4 linked regions of the Canis lupus familiaris genome follow. The protein of the gene in region 3 purifies or fractionates together with the protein of the main gene of each other region. This does not show direct contact. Links are inferred from orthologs where the notes say so. Each region holds a gene or a part of one and is shown on either strand. Other genes may lie near its edges. The genes, in order: RABL6, AP3B2, AP3M1 and AP3S2.

The links.
Region 1: the proteins of AP3M1 (region 3) and RABL6 purify together in Homo sapiens (co-immunoprecipitation; 3 studies listed by BioGRID and IntAct, counting the BioPlex papers as one, with this or other methods). This does not show direct contact. The link is inferred for Canis lupus familiaris from reciprocal best matches to the Homo sapiens genes AP3M1 and RABL6.
Region 2: the proteins of AP3M1 (region 3) and AP3B2 purify together in Homo sapiens (co-immunoprecipitation; 3 studies listed by BioGRID and IntAct, counting the BioPlex papers as one, with this or other methods). This does not show direct contact. The link is inferred for Canis lupus familiaris from reciprocal best matches to the Homo sapiens genes AP3M1 and AP3B2.
Region 4: the proteins of AP3M1 (region 3) and AP3S2 purify together in Homo sapiens (co-immunoprecipitation; 3 studies listed by BioGRID and IntAct, counting the BioPlex papers as one, with this or other methods). This does not show direct contact. The link is inferred for Canis lupus familiaris from reciprocal best matches to the Homo sapiens genes AP3M1 and AP3S2.

Annotation. Positions count from the first base shown.
Region 1 is NC_049230.1:48,747,647-48,752,008, forward strand, and holds part of RABL6 (rab-like protein 6), read right to left. Parts: intron 3,113-4,362; coding exon 3,009-3,112; intron 1,600-3,008; coding exon 1,295-1,599; intron 1,102-1,294; coding exon 951-1,101; intron 295-950; coding exon 79-294; intron 9-78; coding exon 1-8. UniProt on the Homo sapiens protein: May enhance cellular proliferation. May reduce growth inhibitory activity of CDKN2A.
Region 2 is NC_049224.1:55,026,856-55,032,826, reverse strand, and holds the start of AP3B2 (AP-3 complex subunit beta-2), read left to right. Parts: upstream 1-1,894; 5' UTR 1,895-2,234; coding exon 2,235-2,476; intron 2,477-5,971.
Region 3 is NC_049225.1:25,257,736-25,263,189, reverse strand, and holds part of AP3M1 (AP-3 complex subunit mu-1), read left to right. Parts: intron 1-2,197; coding exon 2,198-2,335; intron 2,336-3,473; coding exon 3,474-3,559; intron 3,560-4,582; coding exon 4,583-4,716; intron 4,717-5,454. UniProt on the Homo sapiens protein: Part of the AP-3 complex, an adaptor-related complex which is not clathrin-associated. The complex is associated with the Golgi region as well as more peripheral structures.
Region 4 is NC_049224.1:53,345,405-53,350,858, forward strand, and holds part of AP3S2 (AP-3 complex subunit sigma-2), read right to left. Parts: intron 2,979-5,454; coding exon 2,887-2,978; intron 2,503-2,886; coding exon 2,391-2,502; intron 1-2,390. UniProt on the Homo sapiens protein: Part of the AP-3 complex, an adaptor-related complex which is not clathrin-associated. The complex is associated with the Golgi region as well as more peripheral structures.

The sequences.
Region 1 (4,362 bases), on a different chromosome or scaffold from region 3:
TGGAGGGCCTTTGGGACAAAGGAGAAGTCAGGGTGCCCTTGGCTGCCACCACCCCCAGGGTGGATCCCATACACATACCGTTTGGTCTCTGGCTCAGAGCACTTCTGGGGGATGGGGACAGTGGCCTTGGGGTGCCCTGCCACCTTCTCTGCTTCCTCCTCACTGGAAGAAGTGATGTTTTCCTTGGTGATGGGGCCCACGGGCAGCAGGGGCCTGCTAGGTGGCTTATCTTCAATGTCCACATCATCCTGGAAACCTGCTACCAGTGGGTTCCCGCCTGGGACCTCCTCATCGCTGCAAAAGAGAGGCAGGGGGTCAGAGGTCACAGGGGGGCGCAGAGAGCCCCCTCCCCACCCTGAGCCCCAGACCTGGGGCACCCATGGGCACTGGCTGCAGGGCTGCTCTATCCTTGGCACTCAGCATGTGTGGGAGAACAGACAGCAAGGGGGACCTGTCCAGGACCAGTATAGGTTTTGGGGGCCCTCTGAGAAGGGAACCCGCTGGTATGGCAGACATGGCACAGACTGTGGGGGGTGAGGTGGGGCCAAGGAGATGGATGGAGATGCTGCCACGCAGCAGAGTGTGTGAAGTGGGTGCCCTTGTGCCCCCGGGTGGGGTGCAGGGCAGGGATGGGCTCAGCTGTCTGGGGGTGGGAGAGCAGCCTGGCGCTGGCCCTGTTCTGCTACTTTGCATTTCTGGAGGGACATGGGGATGCTGGAGACCAGCAGGTGTCCCCTGGGTGTAGTGCAGGGAGGTATGCACCGCAGATACCCAGGAACCGGTGATGAGGGAGCAGCAGGGGTGGGAGGCCAGGCCTGAATGCTGGTCCCTGTGTCTTGCCTGGCCCAATCCCTGGTCCATGCAGGCTTCTTCCTGGGGTGCAGGCCTTCAGGGAGTCCTTCCCTCTGTCCCCTTGGCTCACCCATGGCCCACCTGGCCTCTGCCCTTACCTGTCACTGTCCTGTGGGACCTTAGCTCCGACTCTCTTCTCATTCTGCTGGGGGCCAGTGTCATCCAGGAAGCTGCGGTCAAGGCCTTCTTCAGGAACAAAATCCTCCACGTTCTGGACTTTCACTGGGGCCTCTGGGACTGAGGCTGGCTCTGTGGACAGCAGAAGCCACTTCCCATGTGTCCAGTGCCCACTCCTGCCAGGCTCAACACAGGCTGTACCCAGGTGACTGGGCTGTGGGGTTGCCTGCCAGGAGGGAGGAGGATCCCAGCCCAGTCTGCAAGCTCCCAGGGCCAGAAGAGACCAGGCGCTCCCGCCGTGGGCCACTCACACTCCAGGGCTCACCTGGGGCTGAAGGGGCTGCCTCAGCAGCTGGTGAGGTCCCAAACAGCCTGGAGATGATGCTGCGCCGTGGGGCAGGGGCTGCAGGGGGCAGTGGGGCCTCCGTGGGGGGCAGGGGACAGGGGCAGGCTGAGGGCGTGTGGAGGGGCATCTGTGGGGCTGGCTGGGGTGTGCTGGGGCTGGAGCTCCCTGTGGACACAGCGCTGGGAGGCACTACCGGAGACTGGGAGCCTGAGGATGGGCTCTGCCCGTTGGCTGCCAGTGGGGACGCATGGCCACGGCTGCGTGCCTCCATCATCTCAAGGAAGCTGGGGGAAACAGAGCAGGCAGTGAGCAGCCACCTTCCCCTTGGTCTCCTCTCTGAGAGCAGGGTGACAGCAGTGTCCTGGTCCCCAAGCTCCTCAACCTCACACCTCATGGGCTCTATCACATCAAGCCGGGTGTCCCGGAAGGAAGGGGCTAGTGAATGCTGATGGGCAGGCTTGGCAGCTCCTCATCCATCAGCACACATGGGACCTGCTGTGGAGAGGGCCCCAAGCCCCCTGCCCAGCAGTGCTGCCTTCATCTTGCAGCCTGGTCCCAGGGCTGGCTGTGGGGCACGTATGGAGAGGAGGCTCCAGGGGCCATCTCCCTAGGGGGCAACATGCCAGCCAGTGCCACGTACCCAAGCTTATAGAAGCTGGGCATTCCCAGGATGGGTTCCACAGCAAGGGTGGTGCTCACCAGCCAAGCAGCCTACATGCAGGAAAACTCACTCCCCCAGAACCAACTACTAGTTCCAGAACCAACAAATGAACCTGGCTCCAAGGAGACCCAAAGGCCCTCTGCAAGTCCCTCTGGGGACAGACCTGTGGGGGTTGGCAGCCCCACCCCAGCCTACCCCCCGCCCCAGATCTCTGACATTTAGGTGCTCTCTATGGGAACCAAATAAAATCTAAGATGAACTTGCCCTTACGGGTAGTTTGGCCTCCACCTTCCTGAAAGGGAGAGTACCTCCCCGGGAGCTGTGGAGGGCAGACAGGGCCCCCAACTCTCGGTGCCCCTGGGACCCTGAGCAGGCAGTGCCCAGGCCTGCCCACCACCCACCTGGAAGGCTCCATCCCTAGCCCGTCCAGCAGACCCTCCCAAGGTTAAGTAGCTCTCTGAAGACCCACTGTACAATGGCAGCAAGCTGGGAGCCCAAACGCAAAGGCCTGGGAGCCAGTGTCAGCAGGGCCCGAGATGGACCCTTGGCCTGGGTCAGCCGGGCCCCAGTCGTGCCCATCAGGCTGGGGCCCCCTGGGTGCTGGTCAGGCCAGCTAAAGAAGGCCCAGCTGCAGGGAGTGCCTGCTTCCCTAGGTGAAATGGGCACCACTGAAAATTCAAGCTGCTTATTCCGGACAAGCACTTACTTTCCTGAGTGTTGAGGGTAAAGCACCCTGGTGCAGAGAACAGAATAGGCCGCAAGGGTGACCTCACCGTGAGGGCCACTTTTACCCCCCGCCTGGAGCAGCCTGGGTTCTCCCTGCCCGCATCTACGCTGAAATGCTGTGGGTTTTGGAGCAGCACACTAACACCCCCCCCACCCTGTGAGCTGTCCGCTCTGCCCAGGTGGGGGCACTCCTCATTGCTGTCTGCTGGGCAGAGCCCCCAGCTCAGAGGCCTCTGAAGTGAGGCCGCCTCCCACAGAGATGGCCTGTAGGGCTGACCTCCAAGGGCCGCCCCTGGGCTGACATACATGTCATAGTTCTGGTCCTCTGTCTCCTGCTGTACTGACAGCTCCTCCAGTGTGGCGTCCACGTCCAGCTGGTTCGTCTCCAGCTGCCGGAGCAGCGTCTCCCTCTAGAGGAGGAAGCACAGACCCCTTCAGCCCTGTGTCCTCACTTGGCCAGCCCTTGAGGGGTTCACAGCAGCTGAGCATCAGGGTACAGGGAGGCCACCTGGCCTTGGCCAGAGGGCTAGCGTGCCACCCAAGCAGCTCAGTGTGGCTCTAAGGGTCGGTGACGTGAGCAATACCTAGAATGACTGTGCCCCTCCACACGTGGTGCCCCCAGAAGGGGAGGCAGCTCTGACATGCTAAACACGAGGCTCCCTGCTGCATCCTTCAGCATGCTGAGGGGAGCACACACCACCTCCGGGGCAGGAACTGGGCCCATACAGGTGCAGCAGCCACAGCCATGACCCACAGAACATTCTGCTGCTTCCTCCAGCATGGCTGGTGCGGACTGCCAGGTACAGGAAACCTGGGGTGTTCCCCTTGGGATTGGTGTGCTTGTTGTACTTGGGTAAGAAGCTACACAGGTCTAAGAGGGATGCACACAACACCCGGGGACCTGAGGGAAAGCAGGGTGCACGGGCAGCTGGCACCGCTGAGAAGTATGCCCGTACCAACCTCCCTCTGATGGAACTCGCCACCAACCACTCGGTCTGTGGGGCCTTTGTTTCCTTCCAGAGAAAAAGACACAAGAGGAAAGACCACCACTCCCTGAGCAGGCCTGTACCCATATTGGAGGAAGAATGGAAGCCACTGTGGCTGCAGAGGCGCCACAGGCCAGCATCCTGCTGACAAGACGTTGCCTGCCCCACCATGATGTGGCAAGAAAGGCAGGGGCCTCTGTGGTCTTCCCCCTGAATATCTGGCCCATGTCAGACGGGCCTTGGATGGGGATACCTGAGATACTCAGCCCGAGCAGGCTCAGCAGAACGGCTATATGGAGGCCGGGGCTGGGCCTGGGAGGGAAAACTGGGGAATAGCCCTGCATCAGTTGGTACAACAACGCTGCTTCCAGGCTTTGGAGAGAAGCACCATGGAAACCCGACAGGCTGGCACCAGGGGAAACTGAGCAAGGGACCCAGAAGCCCTCTACCTTCTCTGTAAACCTAAAATCACTCCAAAGTAAGATGTTCAGAGAAGATGGAGCAGGCCAGTACTTGGGCTCAGATGGCTGTAAACCAGGCTCTGTGCTTGCACAGCAAGGGTGGGACCTGGTGGGGCTCTTCCTGTAGCTACACCTCAGAGGGGCCTGGGTCCACCTAAGGGTGGGCAGCCATCCAGCCACAAGGAGCGGGGGCGTGGCATGTTCAGGGCATCT
Region 2 (5,971 bases), on a different chromosome or scaffold from region 3:
GGCTTTTGAGACTGTAGAAGTCACAGACTTGATTAACTGGGGGAAGAAGGTAAGTATAATACTCAGATTACTATTTCTTGTAACTGGATAGATGGTAGTGCCTTACAGTGTGTTTGGAAATAAAGATGTTACAAACAAATTTGTGAAAATAATTTGGAGCCCAGCTTTTGAGAGCCTGAGATTGTAAACTCTGGGGGGTATTTAAGCCTAGGAGCTAGGAGATTTTAGGATTTGGATTCCAGGACAGATTCTTAACATATATATATTTAAATAAATATATTTAATATATATATAAATAAATATATTATATTATATTATATTATATTATATTATATTATATTATATATATTAAAGCCACAGAAGGAAGTGAAGGTAACCCAGGGATATAAAATGAGTACAGACAGTGCACAGATAGGAACTTTAAAGACACAGACATTAGGGATGACCAGAATGCAGTGGAAGAGTGTTTCAAGGTAACTGAGAAAAAGTAAACTGAAGGCATCATGCGGTTTCAAGGAGGCAGCAATCCATAATGTCAACCCAAACAAGGGAAAGAAATCACGACCATTGGCTTGACAAAGAGTCGGTCAACCTCTCCCTGTTCTGCTCCCCACTTCCTGTTCTGTGGGACAAGTCTGGCGAAGTCAGAAGAGGGGGAGCTGGGTTATTTTTCCCCAACATTCTATTACGAACAATGTTAAACATACAGAAAAATTGATTTTATAATACAAGGAATACATACATACCCTCCACCTAGATCCAACCATTGTTGACATTGTGCCATGTTTGCTTTATTTATTTTTTATTTTTTAAACATATTTTATTTATTTATTTATTTATTTATTTATTTATTTATTTATTTATTTATTTGAGACACACAGAGGCAGAGACATAGGCAGAGGGAGAAGCAGGCTCCCTGCAAAGAGCTCGATGTGGGACTCAGTCCCCAACCCCACCATCACGCTCTGAGCCAAAGGCAGATGCTCAACCGCTGAGCCACCCAGGCATCCCTGCTTTATTTTTTTTTAAGATTTTATTTATTTATTCATGAGAGACAGAGAGAGGCAGAGACATAGGCAGAGGGGGAGGCAGGCTCCCTGTGGGGATCCCGATGCAGGACTCCATCCCAGGACCCCAGATCATGCCCTGAGCCCAAGGCAGATGTCCAACCGCTGAGCCACCCAGGTGCCCCTCAGCCCTAAATTCTTATCAGCGTCTCAAACCAGGTTAAAGTGAATAAAGGAGCAAATAAGAGATAAATAAATAAAACACAGTGAATGGGAAATTTGGTTTCCAGAAGTTTGTAAAGGGGAGAGAGAGAGAGAGAGAGAGAGAGAGAGAAAGAGTAGCTGGAGATAATTAGTTCAAGAAGGTTTATTTTATTTTTGCTGTTACTTTTGCTTATTATCTGGATGGGGAGCCTGGAGCAAGTCTAACTGCTGATGGGAAGGAGCCAGTTGTGTGGGAGAGGCTGAAGGGAACTGAAGCAGGCCTGGACCCCTGGGTGGTGGGAGGGGAAGCCTACAGAGCTGCCTTTGAGGAGGATCACTGCCCACGGGGAGGAGAACAGGAGAGGAGACGCAGATGTTTGGGAGCTGCAGGGGATTTTATCTGAGGCCTTTCATTTTCATGAGAAACAGGTGGTGAAGCTCTCAGAGCCAGAGAGCAAGGCTGTGGGTGGGGATTTGAGGCACATTGAGCAGGTCTGAAATCCAGCAAATAAAGCCAACTACTCCTGGCAGGGTAGGGGCAGCAAGGATGGGAGGGCCTTGGGTATGAGAGAGAGAGCAGCTAGAGGGACGGGCTGGGAGGCTGGGCCAGGTGGGGAGGAAGTAGAGACCAGAGAATACTGAGAAGGAAGGAAGGAATCAAGGACCTGGCTCCGGGTTCGGGTCAGAGTGGGAAGGGGGTGTACAGGGTTTCTGAGGAAGAGCAGTTCTGGGGAGGCAGGGGTCCAGATGTGGCAGGAGAGTGGGAGTGAGGAGGGCATCCCTCACCTCTGTCTGGATCAGCTCCCCTGGCCCACAGGCCAGAAATAGGGGTGGTTTACTCCCCAGTCCCTGCCGTCCTCCCCATCTGGAGTCCTATCTCTGAGCCACGAAAAGGAAACCAGAGCCTCCTTCCCTGCCAGTGTCTGGTTTCTGAGTTTCGGGGGCGGACCGTCTAGGACAGGGACAGGCGTCCCTGGCTCCCTGGTTGGCTCAGTCTCATCTCAGAGCAGGACCCGGTGCCCCATGCAGCGATTCCTGCAGCTCCCGGGGGCTGTGGTGAGGCCAGGGGGCAGAGGGGCTGGTGCAGCTGACCAGGAGGCTGCCAGCCCTGTGCTGGCCCCTGAAGGCGGGCCCCCACCCTGGTACCAGGCCCTGCAGCCTGAGGAGCTCCGGTGGCTGCAGGCCCCCGAGGAAGACACAATCCCGGAGGCGTCCCTGGAAGGGCCTGGCCCGGAGCCTGGCCAGAGCCAGAGCCAGCCGCTAAGGTACAGAGGAACTCCCAGGGCCCCTCACCCCCATGCCAGGAAGGGTGGACAGCTGCTGCTCTAGCTCAAACTCCACCTCCCCAGGAGGAGGTCTAGGTGGGTGGGGGCATCAGGGGTGCAGTGTGGGGGCTGAGTGTATGAGGCGATGAACATAACTCGGGCAGCTCTGGCAGGGGGGGATAGTGTTATGGTTCCACCTGGACCTTCCCCCTCCCAGGTCCCGGCTGCAGTGGGCTCTGGGTGAGGTTTGGAGACAGGCTAAGATGCAGAGTTTGGGCAGCCCACCCCCACCCCCACTTCTAATGGATTGGGATTTGGTGGTGAGGAGAGGGAGGAAGGTGTATATCAAGGAGGTGAGCACGTCTGGCCTCAGTGTCTGGGTGGCTCTGGCCACCCCCTGGAGAGTTCCTCGGCCAGGTCAGGCCAGGGGTCAGGGCAGAGAGAGTGCGGTGTAAGGGGATCTGACCACAGAGGCTAATGTTTCATGGCTTCGGAGCCTTGCTGTGCATCCCTCGCTCCCTCTCCCTCTCGGGCACACAAGATGACGGCCCGGGGGTGGTCACATCCCAGGAGGGGGCTGATGTCTGCTCATGGGCATTTGACAGTCCTGCCTGGCTCCCTGTGCCATGTACCCACAGGCCCTCCCCTCCCTCAATTCTCCTTGGCCGGCTGGAGCCTCCAGGGCCTGGAGTATTTGCACCAGGCCGGGAGGGTGGGAGTAGTATGGGTGCTGCAGCACGGCCCCAGGGGTGGTGCATTTGACAGGGGCCTGTGGCATTTCTAGGAGTGGTGAGGACACTCCGGGTGAGGAAGTCTGCTTTAGAGAACACCCAGGCAAACTCCAGCTGCTCCCAGTCAGGTCACCCAGGCCCACCCCTCAGGAGGAGGCCGGAGGGTCCATGAGGCTGCCTGTGTTTGATCCTAGAAGCCTAAATTCATCTTCCAGCATCTCAAATAGGAGTTGACTGGACACTGGGGAATGAGGCCAGAGTGACAGTTTTGTTGAGAGGGTGTATGTGTACGTGGTGTGTGTTGTGGAGGGGCTTGGGTGTGGGGGTGCATTGGGTGGGATGTGCACATCCAGATGGGGGTGTGGGAGGGAATGGAGAAGTCTTGTGGGAATGTGTGTGTTTGTGGGGGTCTAGGGATGTGGGTGTGAGGTATGTGTTAATGCATATGTGGGTATATGTGTGTAGAGTTTCTGTGGGAAGTGTCTGAACGTGTGGTGTATGTGTCTGTGATCGTGTGTTTCTCCAAGGGTCGTGGGTGTGTATGAGTTTATGTATGAATTGTGTGTGTCTGGGGGTACAGGTGTGTCTGGGGATGTGTGGATATATCTATGGGGTGGAGGTGTGGGGGTATGGGTATGTCTAGGGGTGTAGGTGTGAGGTGTGTCTGGGTGTGAGAATGTCTGGGGTCCAGGTGGTCTGTGGGGTGTGGGTATATCTGGGGGTGTGGGTATGTCTGGGGTACAGATGTGTCTGTGGGGGGGATGTGGGGATGTCTGGGGTACAGATGTGTCTGTGAGGGGTACAGGCGTGTCTGTGGGGTGCAGGTGTGCCTGTGGTACGTGTGGATGGTGCTGGAGCGTGGAGGGGGTATTGGGATGTGTGGGTATTTGTGGGATGTGTGCTGTGAGCTGTCCATATGGTGGAATGTGGCAGTTCAGCGGCCTGCACTCATACTCGGGGACCGGGGTGCCCAGCGTTTATCCTCCCACAGCCCTAATGGTGCCCATGCTCAGCTGCACCGTCTGGGCCTCCTGTACCCCGTGGGCTTGAGCTCAGCCTGCAGGAGTGGACCACCTGGCCTGTGTTTGGGAGAGTGAGAAGATCCTCTGATCTGGGGGCGTTTAGATGAGCATGGCTGGGGCTGGACATTCTTCTGCCTTCTGTGATGACTAGCAGGTCTTCTGTGTCCTGGAAGACATTAGCTTTCTATCCTGCTTTCCACCAAAAAATCTGTTCAGGAAAGACCCTTTCTAAAACCCTTGGATCATCCATAGCTTAGCTCTGCTTCTGTCCCTTCTGAGTGTGCGTTAGGCACTTGGGCATCTGTGCAGAAGGCAGCCCATGCATCACGTTGGCTTCTTCCCTTCCTCTCGGCCTTTGTCGCTGACTTGCCTCTCAGCACCGGCAGCACCGCCACCCTGGCCTGTCTGTGACTGTTGTCCTGCTCATCCCTGCTGTCGCTATTCGCTTCAATTTCTGACATTCTGCTGTCTCTAAATATGTCATTGCTTTTTTTTTTTTTTTTTTTATGGGTTGTCATTGCTTTTTAATTTCTACTGTTAGTGATAACCTTTCTAGGCTGGGTTCTCCTGCCTGGCTCAAAAGCTGTGGCTTATTATCTGGAAGATGAGAGAATTGTGCAGGACTCTGCACACACTGATCACCACATCTTGGAACCGTTTTGGCAACACATGAGCACATCAGTTGTCCCACAGCTGTCTTGGCTGTATAGAAGCATTTTTTCCATGAGTCTATTCACAGGTTCACTTCTTTGACCACCTACCCCTAGACCTCTGAGTATGGTCAGGCAGGTTGTTCACTGCACAAGGGCACATGACTGAGGACTACCAGACTATGCTCCACTCTTTGAAAGGAGAGCGATAGCTCAGGGCTATGTCTCCTTGGAGGGACTAACAGGTGTGGATATGCTTGCAGCAGCCCTTACAATGAAAGCTGGATATAGACCTTAAATCTATATTGGTGCTTTATTTTGTTTTTGTTTGTTTGTTTAAGATTTTATGTATTTATTCATGAGAGACAGAGAGAGGCAGCGACATAGGCAGAGGGAGAAGCAGGCGACATTCAGGGAGCCCGATTCAGGACTCAATCCCAGGACCCCAGAATCACAACCTGAACAGATGCTGAACCGTTGAGCAACCAGGCGCCTTAATGCTTTATTTTGAATATTAAATTTTTGTTTGCCATATCCCAAATATTTTCCTTTCTGTTGCTTTATAGGCTGTATTGTGTCCCCTTCAAATTCCTATGTTGAAGTCCTAACCCCTGGTACCTCAGAATATGACTATATTTGGGGCAGGGGTCTTTAAAGAGGTGATTATGTTAAAATGAGGTCATGAGGGATCCCTGGGGGGCGCAGCAGTTTGGCGCCTGCCTTTGGCCCAGGGCGTGATCCTGGAGACCCGGGATCGAATCCCATGTCGGGCTCCCGATGCATGGAGCCTGCTTCTCCCTCTGCCTATGTCTTTGCCTCTCTCTCTCTCTCTGTGTGACTATCATTAAAAAAAAAAAAAAAAAAAAAAAATTTAAAATGAGGTCATGAGAGCCCTAACCCATTCTGATTGGTGACCTTATAAGAAGAGGAAATTTGGGGGCACCTGGGTGGCTCAGTGGTCGAGTATCTGCCTTCAGCTCAGGTCGTGATCCCAAGATCCTGGGATCGAGTTCCACATTGGGCTCCCTGCATGGAGCCTGATTCTCCTTCTGCCTGTGTCTCTGCCTCTCTGTGTGTCTCTCATGAAAAAAA
Region 3 (5,454 bases):
ACTCTCCACCACAGAGTACATATTATTTCCTCCAAGTCTTTGTTTTATACATGCAGAAGATTTATTAAAACAAAAAGATGGGAAATTAGTCTGTCAGTGAGATCTCATGCATTGTGACCTTGTACTTTGTTTTAAGCTTCTTTTTTTTTCTAAAGATGTTTATTTATTTACTCATGAATGACACAGAGAGGCAGAGGGAGAAGCAGGGAGCCTGATGCAGGGCTCCATCCCAGGACCCTGGGATCATGACCTGAACCAAAGGCAGATGCTCAACCACTGAGCCACCCAGGTGCTCCATGTTATAAGTTTGTAATTTTTATTTCTTGAATATAGCTAGAAATTAGGTACATCCAGATGACAGTATTTTTTGAGAGTGTTGAAGTCTTCTAGAGAAAGATTTCTGTGAAATGTTACATAACACACCAGCTCTGCTGTCTACCATTGTAAACCCCGCTCTAAGTGTACTGACCTAAAAAAATGGGACAAGAGAGGCCTATAAGAGGCCTTTATTCATCTTCTGTACAAAGCTGAGCATTAGGAGAAATTCAAGGAAAGATAAGATAGAATGTATGCACCTAAAACTTAGACTCTGGATGGGAGATTAGAAAAAAATTAAAGTATGTAAATAATAATATAACATTGTAAAAGGCAACTCCATACTTTATAAACAATACAGTGACATTGGAAAGTACACATGATATAATACTAAATGGAAAAAATACCAACATAAAACTATAAAAGTTTCTGTTAATTACACAAACATTCCTACAGACAAAAAAGTTCTAAAATATTTTCAATGACCGTCTCCAACTAAGGAACAACATACTATCTTTATTTTTGCTTAATACTTTCTAATTTCTAAAATAAACATGTATTTTATAGTTACTAAAATAGAGAATGAAAATACATAGGTTATTAAGGCAGTGCATTCAAGAGAATGGTTCAGTAGATGAAATAATCCCTCCTGAACTGTGGTGCTTGGCCCCAATGCAGGGCCCTAAAGAATCAGCAGAATTTAGGGAAAGAGGGAGGAATAAGAGCATTCTGTAGATGGAACTATATGAGAAAAAAAACACACAACATGAAAAACCTAGAATTATATTAATTATTTAACAGGAGCAGAGCTGTTTTTTTACTGAGTAATGAGACACAAACACCAATCATAATTAGACTGTAAAATCTAATTATATATATACAGTATATTGTATATACAGTATGATTGCAACTATATTTTAAGGTGCAGTCAAAAATAACAAACTTACCAAAATAGAAAAAAATAAATGCAGCCTATTTATGAGGGAAATGTTTAAAGAATTATACCAAACTGTTAATGGTAGTTGTATTTTGGTAACAGAAAGATAGATCCTTTTTAGCCACTTTTCTGAGCTTTCCATGTGTTGTTGTTACTAAGCATATACTACTTTTGAATTGGAAATGTAAATTAACCAAAATGTTAAATATGTCACAGCTCAAGGGTGTGTTTTGGACAATCAGACTTACTTTCAGACATATGTCAATTTACCAGTAAATTAGCCCTATATTAAACCTTAGCCATATTACAGCCATATGGTTGTGCTGACCTTAAAATGGGAAAAGGCCAGAGTGTGTTCTTCATCCTGTTACTCTGCTGAGGCCTGCTTGGCAGCATCTCATGTAGAATTTAAGCTGAATACCAAAGGGCCTACTTATCACTTATTCTCAGTGGAAACATTTTATCGGCAGAAGGTTCTACAACAACTAGCCTCTTTTCTTCATCACTGGCAGCAGGACGAGATTCTGTTGTTGAGCCACTAGAATTAGGTTAGGTTACTGTTAACACACAGGAAGCAAAAGATAGGTAAATGAATTTAACCTGGTTTGGCACATAGAGGACCACATGGCCTATTTCTGTCCCCTAGAAATTTGATCATGTCGGTATAGCAATTCCAGCAATTCTGGAAACCATCCACAACTTCGATGAAGAAAACGTAAACATTAAAGAAGCAACTAAAGCATTCTTTTTTTTTTTCCTGTTAATAGTTTTTCTTTCTTTTTTTGTTTTTAAAATAAACTATACACCAGTGTGGGGCTTGAACTCACGACCCCAAGGTCAAGAGTCGCACATTCTACCAACTGAGCCAGCCTATCACCCTTGTTAATAGCTTTCCTGATGACTATTTTATGCATTACCTTTGCTTTCTCCTTTTCCGGTTTCTAGGCAGTAGTAATGTTGGGGACACACTCCCCACTGGGCAGCTGTCCAACATCCCATGGCGGCGGGCAGGGGTAAAGTACACAAATAATGAAGCCTATTTTGATGTCGTTGAAGAAATAGATGCAATTATAGATAAATCAGGTAATTGTGTGCATGTGATCTTATTTGGGAAAAACAGTTGAGCTGACAAAATTGAAATCTCTTGGTAGTATGGTTTCAGCAGAAAGGCATTCACTTCCTGATAGCTTAAAATCTGTTTATTTTGCCCAGAGGCTACATATAATTTTCATAACCACTAGCTGAGATCTGCCAAACCTTTGTAAATCAGATCTCATGCTGCCTTACTTTAAGCCAGTTATTACCCTGTCTGCCTCTCCCTCTTGCCATTTATTCAACATTTATTGTATTATCTACCATGCACCATACTTTTGCTACCACTTTACATACAGTACTTCTGAAGACCCCAGACAAAACAGCTGTACTCTATTAGAACCATAAATTTTACTAAAAACATCTAGTCCAACCTTCACATTTTATACATAAGGAAACTGAGGCTCAAAAGGGTTTAGTAATCTGCTCAAGGTCACACAGCTAGTTGCTGTGTGAAAATGAGTTATTGTGAATTATAGCCAGTATTTTTTCTTCAATCAGTGCCCTTTTCATTATAAAAATTCTATCATACAGAATAATAGCTACATTATTACAGAATAATGGCTCCTATTCAAAGTTAACAGCTTAGTCCATTTCAATGAGAAATTTGCCTCATTTTTAAATTCCATTAAAAATATTTTAACTTCAAACACTTTTTTTTTCTAAAAGGGAAAGAGTTGATGGGGAGGGACAGAGGCGGAAGGGGAGAGAGAATCTTAAGCAGGCTCCATGCCCAACAGGAAGCCCAAGGTGGGGCTGCATCTCAGGACTTTAAGATCATGACCTGAGCAGAAATTAGGCGCTGGCTGCTTAACAGACCGAGCCACCTAGGCACCCCAAAAACATTTTAATTTCATATCCAGCAGTCTTACAAGGTTGACTATGTCAAGACAGAGGCAGGTTTGATATTCCGTAGAATTACCCCAGTCCTACCAGTTAGGTGTGGGCGTTTAGTGAAGAAACTGTCATAACTGGTGCAATGGATCCTCTGTCCCACTAACTTGTTAGTAGATGTGCAAGTTTCATTATGTCTGACACCGAGGTGATGTCTCCATTATTTCAGAGACAGTGATCGCTCTAGTCTTTACTAGACTCCAATTCCAGTGATGTTATCACTTCCTTTCTTCAGGATCTACAGTGTTTGCAGAAATTCAGGGGGTCATTGATGCTTGCATTAAGCTATCTGGAATGCCTGACCTTTCTCTTTCTTTCATGGTAAGTTTTGTTCTCCTGTCCTGTAGATCTTTGTATGCCTAATATATATGAAGTACTGAAAGAAATGATAAATACTGAGAGATGTTTGTATCTTAGATTGTAAGTATTATCTCAGAAATATTCTAAGATTTATTTACTTATTTAGAGAGAGCATGAGCAGGGGGAGGGGCAGAGAGAGAGAAAGAGAGAATCTTAAGCAGACTCCACGCTGAGCGGGGAGCCTGACATGGGGTTTGTTCTCCCAACCCTGAGATCATGACTTAAGCCAAAATCAAGAGCCTGCTGTTTAACTAAACCACCCAGGTACCCCTATCTCAGAAATATTCTTAGCACAGCTTCCCAAGACAGTGGCTTACATAATGAGCATGGCCTTTATGGAAAGGCTGAGGAGAAGTCTTCTCCTGGCTATGTTAGAAGTGGCTTAAATGGCTGGATGGCTTCTGCAAATCTGTAGTCTCACTGAATTATTATTTGCTTTACTGATAAGAAAGGGCATTGATCTTTTGCATCATTTTAGATTTGGCATGATACACTACTAAGAAAAGAGAACAAAGTTCTGTTGCTATCTCGTTTTGACCTTGAGTTCTTCCAACTTCATTTTTGTCATCTGTGAAATGGAAATGATAGTACGGCTCACATTTTCTACTTAATAGTAATTGAAATTCAACTAAAATAACATATGAAATATTTGCGGCCACCTGGGTGGCTCAGATGGTTAAGTAGCCGGCTCTTGATTTCAGCTCAGGGTTGTGAGGTTCGAGATCTGTGTCTGGCTCCACACTCAGTGGAGAATCTGCTTGAAGATTGTCTCTCCCTCTCCCTCTGCCCCCTCCCCTGCTTTACAAAATATATTTGAAATCTCAAAGCCTTGTGAAACTGTTAACTGTGTGTTATTGTGGTCATAGTAACAAACTCGTAATGTAACTTTTATCCTTAGGGAGTACATTAATTTCTCATAGTATCCTAGCAGACTTGCCCTATTCCGCACACTCTGTGAATACTGCCGTCTTGTTTTCCTGGCAGAACCCACGGCTTCTCGACGATGTCAGCTTCCACCCCTGCATCCGGTTCAAGCGCTGGGAATCTGAAAGAGTTTTGTCATTTATTCCTCCAGATGGAAATTTCCGACTCATATCGTATCGTGTCAGCTCACAAAAGTACGTTGATGCATCAACTAGAAATCTGCTATCATGTATCAGAGTGATGGGTAGTCCCCTTACCTTTTTCATTCTGACAGGTGGATACTTGAATTCATCACTGCTCTCTTTGGCCATGGCTCATTAGGAAACTCAGGAAGAACTGGTGAAATATGTATCTAAAATAATCAGTGTTCCTTGAATGTGAGAATATAAAGTACTAGTAAAACATATACCGGAGAACAAACACTTTGGACTGTGCACAACCTACACAAAACCTTGAACCCATGCCATAATTTTACTGTGGTCTGTAGACTTCATATCTGACAGAGGGAGACAGATACATCTCTAATTCTCTAGGCAATCGCCCAATTAACTGACTTCCGGTCACTCTTTCGGGTACTAAGATTAAATGAATGAATTGGCATTGTGGGTTGTAAATGGTTTGTCCCTTGAAAATATCAGAAGGCATTTGGGTAGCATCAGTAATACTCAAAAGCAGAGGAGTTATTTCTTGGCTCTTACCACATAGGGACAATTTCATTTAGTTTAATTTTAAATTCTCTTTTCTATGGGACCTTAATTAATTTCTTCAAACTAGGGCTATTTGTGCCACTTGTTTATCCTATCTTGAATCCTGTCTTGATTTGATACTTCTTGCTCAGAAATTGTGTAATTCCTAGTGTGGTGGTGCTCAGACTCTCTGGTGAGTACTAGTGAATGCTGACCCTCCAGGTCTGGGGATATATGGCCCTCGGT
Region 4 (5,454 bases), on a different chromosome or scaffold from region 3:
CATTTCTATAGCATTCTACAGTTTATAATACTATAAAATACATTGTCACAATTGAATCCTAGAACCTATTACTTCTATATTCAGATGGTAGATCCAGGACTCAAATGCAGGTTTTCTGATTCTAGATCTTAAGCTCTTTCTATTATGCCACACTGACTCTCAATGTTCAATCTGACTCAGGTGTTTTAAGAAAGCCTTTTAGGGGGCAGCCCCGGTGGCTTAGCAGTTTAGCGCCACCTTCAGCCCAGGGTGTGATCCTGGAGACCCAGGATCGAGTCCCACGTCGGGCTCCCAGCATAGAGCCTGCTTCTCTCTCTCTCTCAGTATCTCTAATAAATAAATAAAAAATATTAAAAATAAAAAAAGAAAAGAAAAGAAAAGAAAGCTTTTTAGGGATGTCTGGGTGGCTCAGAGGTTGGGCATCTGCCTTTGGCTAGGGCATGATCCCAGTTTGAGGGTCGGGTCCCACATTGGGGTCCCCGTGAGGAGCCTGCTTCTCCCTCTGCCTGTGTTTCTGCCTCTCTGTGTCTTTCATGAATAAATAAAATATTTTTTAAAATCTTTTTAAATCATCTTAGAGATACTCTTTTTTAGATAATTTGTACTGTTATATACTGTATGCGAATATAAGCATGATTTTAAATTAATCATCTTAAAATGATTTTCTGAATGTAAAATTTATATTTTTGTAGCTAGTTTTCTATAATTGTTAATTAGATTTTAATGCAAGCTTCTATTTCAGTGCTTTCTACTTAAGAAACTTAAGTCACTTAAAGGAAGCCTGCCTAAAATTTCATGTATAAAATGATGGAATAGGGGCACCTGGCTGACTTACTGATACAGTATGTGACTCTTGCTCTCAGGGTTCTGAGTTTGAGCCCTACACTGGATGCAGAAATTACTTAAAAAAAAAAAAAAAAAAAAAATTCCAGGAGCACCTGGTTGCCTCAGTCAGGTTAAGTGTCTGCCTTGGGCTTGAGTCATGATCCTAGGTTCCTAGGATCTAGCCCTGCATCAGACTCCCTGCTTGGTGGGGTGTCTGCTTCTCTCTCTGCCTCTCCCCCTGCTGATGCTTGCTTTCTCTCTCCATCTCTCGCAAATAAATTAATAAACAAACATGTAAATAAATAAAATCTTTTAAAAAATCTGTAAGCCATTTTCAAAAATCCTAAAGAAATCATGTTTACCTATGTCAAGATTGCACAGACTAACTAAAACATCAAGTCTCTTTGTCTTAGGCTAGAATTACAAGTGAAAATAAAAAGTATGAATTCTTAAATGTCAATCGGTTTGACAGTTGAAAAAAATTTCAAAAGATGATATGATACTATAATTTATAATAAGAAAATATTTGGGGGCAGCCCGGGTGGCTCAGCGGTTTAGTGCTGCCATCAACCCAGGGCCTGATCCTGGAGACCCAAGATCGAGTCCCATGTCAGGCTCCCTATACGGAGCCGGCTTCTCCCTCTGCCTGTGTCTCTCTCTCTGTGTCTCTCTCTCTGTGTCACTCATGAATAAATAAATAAAATCTTTAAAAAAAAAAAAAAAGAAAAGAAAATATTTGGTATTCATCTCTGTTTCTGGCATAGAGCTCTTAAATGATAAAGATGTCCTGTTTATGTTAATAAGATGATTTTTAGAAAGCACCTAACAATGGAGGCTGGTAGTCAGAGAACCAACCATACAATTAGAGGATTGGAACTTTCAGTCCCACCCTCAATCTCCAGAGAAATCCAACAGGACATTGTTTTGAGAGCTTCCGGGTTGGTGGACTTTGGAGAGTGGCCTGACTGGAAAGGGCATGTCCTTTCCTCACTTCCCCATTCTTTGCCCTGTAAATCTCTTCCATCTGGCTATTCCTGAGTTATATCCTTTTATAGTAAGCTGGTAATCTAGTAAGCAACATGTTCCTCTCAAGAGTTCTATGAGCCACTCTAGCAAATCAAACCCAAGGAGGAAGTCATGGGAACCTCCCTGATCTATAGCCAGTCAGAAGCACAGGTGATACCACCCTGGAGTTGTGATTGGTATCTATCTCCAGGTAGATAGTGTCAGAATTGAGTTAAATTTGTGGGACACCTAGTCACTGCCCACAGAGAACTGAGTTAACTGCTAGGTGGTGGTGGAGGGGGAAGCACACACATTGGAATTGGTGTCAGAATTGTACATGAAAACCAAAGGCAGTGAGAGGGCTCAGTAGAAACCAATGAGTCCAAAAGCTCTAGTTTTTAAGGGTTGCTAGGAGCTTTCTTACAGCACCATATGGTGGACATCTGGCAATTCTTACCAGCATCAATAAAGAGACTGACAAAAAGATCTACAGGATGGTTACTCAAAAATCCAGTGCAAATTCTCATTAGTGGCTGCCATCATTAGCTGACTACACATACCTGGATGAGGTCCAAGATTCCAAGTTCACTCTCTGATGAATCCACACAAAACACAAAGTAGAGTGTAGCATAGTGCCGATAAATCAATTTGTAGTCAGAGCCACCAATCAAACTGTGGAAGATGGGAAATGTTTAAATGGCTGTATCTTAAATGTATCGAAGAAAACTCCATGCCAAAGAATGAGAATAGGCGCAACAGAAAGGGGAAGACAGGCAAACAACAGGCCATTTCTACCAGGGGAACAGCAACCAGGTTTGGCAGAGGTACCTAAAACCACTTTACCTCACTTTTTCTTCTACCATCTTCCCGGAAACCAAACATCTAAATGAGTAACATCTGAAGCACAATCATTCAACAGCTTCCCAAACAGAACTGGGTCTCTTCCTGGGCAGCTCAGGTACCCACCTGACACTTGAGTACCACTTGAAGAGGCAACAGTGATGAAGAACACCCAACAGTAGATACACGGATAGAAAACTGAAGCCCATTATTTACCTTCCACCTTCCAAGAAGTTACAAATGTTGTCATCTCGCTTGAGAACTAGATGGAAGGTCTCTCGAACAATCTGTTGTTGAATTTCTTCTGGCTATGGAATAAAAGAAAGTGAATCAGTGGGGATGTCTGAAAAACTACATTCCATGGATGAACAGGGAGAGAAGTGCTTCTAAGCAGGAACGATCTAAAGATTTGGTACCAGTTTCCAGAAAAAATAAAAGGGGAATCTATGGAAAATGGTAAGACTCAGTTACAGGAATTAAGCTAGGGCACATTTATCTGGACATCAAGTCACTAACCATTACTGTCCTGAGAGGTAAAGCGACACTTCCTTATGGTTAATAACCAAGGAAAGGAGCAGGGTGCCTGAGTAGCTCAATTGGTTCAGCATCCGACTGGGTTTCGGCTCAGGTCATGATCTCAGGGTTGTGAGATGGAGTACCACCTCAGTCTCCATGCTTAGCGAAGAGTCTGCTTGAGATTCTCTCTCCCCTTCTCCCTCAGTCCCTCCTCCCACTCATACTCTCTTTCTAAAATAAATAAAATCTTAAAAAAAAAAAAAAAAAGAAACAAGGGAAGGAGAACTAATAAACTCTCATAAAAGACCAAAGAATAACTAGAAGATCCAGTCCTGGAGTATTTTGCCTTCCCCTAGAATATATCTACACCAGGGCAAATAACAAATGTCAATAGGTCTAACCTTTCAGGGAGGTCAAGATTTAATTGTGTAACCATGTTTTTAAAACCTGAATTTTCCATCTTTTGTACTGGTAAAATATGGTATTACATATAAGATGGGGTATTTACTCACCAACAAAGTATTATTGACAGAAAAAAATTCTATTTACAGATTAGAATTTTAAGTTATACTTTTCTTCACTACCATACACAAGAAAGCTCAACTGTAATGATACCTCTTGATAACTCATACTGATTTCTGTCTATACAGAGGAGGTTCATAGTAAATATGGTTTAAAAAAAAAAAAAAAAGGACGATGGGGGGGCACCTGGGTGGCTCAGTCACCCAACTCTTGTTTTCAGCTCAAGTTACGATCTCAGAGTCGTGAGATTGGGCCCTGCCATGGGTTGTGCACTCAGAAGGGAATCTGCTTGAGATTCTCTCTCTGCCCCTCCCCCTGCTCTCTCTCAAATAAATAAATAAATCTTAAAAAAAATAAAAGGATGATGGAAGAAATACACTGATCATTAAGACAAAAGCAATTAAAAGCTCTAGACCAATGCCCTTACATTTCAATATGCAACGAATCACCTGGGAATGTTATTAAAATATAGGTTCTGATTTAGTAGGTTTGGGGTATATTCTAAGATTGCATTTCTTTTTATTTTTTTTATTTTTTCTATTTTATGATAGTCACAAAGAGAGAGAGAGAGACAGAGGCAGAGACATAGGCAGAGGGAGAAGCAGGCTCCATGCACCAGGAGCCCGACGTGGGATTCGATCCGGGGTCTCCAGGATCGCGCCCTGGGCCAAAGGCAGGCGCTAAACCGCTGCGCCACCCAGGGATCCCTAAGATTGCATTTCTAACAAGCGTCCAGGTAATACCAATGCTGGTACCAATGCTGCTGGTCTGGGTATACATTTTGAGTACCAAAGCTTAAGAAAACCTTCAGATTGGACTTGCCCTAAGAGTCAGAAAATAGACTCAAGTAATGTTAATCCCTTCTTTCTAAAGCATTGAATTTAAGTTTGAATTTAAGCACTGCCTTAAGTTTGAAAGGTTATTTAATAGACTGAAAAAAAAAAAAACCAGGGAAAATGTCATTGTGGAGAAATTACATTTCATAATTTTGACTTAACATGGATAAACAATGGCTCAGTATTTACTGAATGAATGAAAACCTGCTAATCACTATTCGCTTTAAGTTTGAGTCAATCAGTCACTGTTTTCCGGGTTTCCATTTAAAGTCACAAAGCTAACTGACGCCAGGATACTGTAAAGGATTAACTCTGTGTACTTGGAAGTACAAAACATGCTAAAATATCAGCACTTTTTTTAACCTGACAAAAACATCTTTCAAACTAAAGCCATTTATCTGACCCTAGGAGGAGGTTGCAGCAGAGAAGTGCTATGAAATGGTGAAGCTAACTAATTTCTAATTTCAACAGAAAAGTGAACTAACACTTGCTTAGATATCTCAAAGACTTTTAACAACCCCTTATATCTCTTAGTTCTCTGCAATTTTCAAGGTAACTTTCACTTACAAGCTAATGTGGTTCTTATAAAAATCCTATGTCCTCCAAAGAAAGTTTACCAATGGCCAATAAGGACATGCAGAGTTGCTCAACATCATTAGTCATTAGGGAAACAAATTAAAACCATAATGAGAATCCACTTTATACCCATTAAAGTGTTTCTTATCAGAAAGATAGTAACAAATGTTGATAGGGAAGTGGAGAAATTGGAACTCCTATACATTGCTGAAGGGTACATAAATCAGTACAGCCACTTTGGAAAAACAGTTGGACAATTTCTCAAAATGTTCACCAGAGTTACTATACGACCCAGCAATTTTAGTGCTAGGTTTATAACCTAGAAAAATGAAAA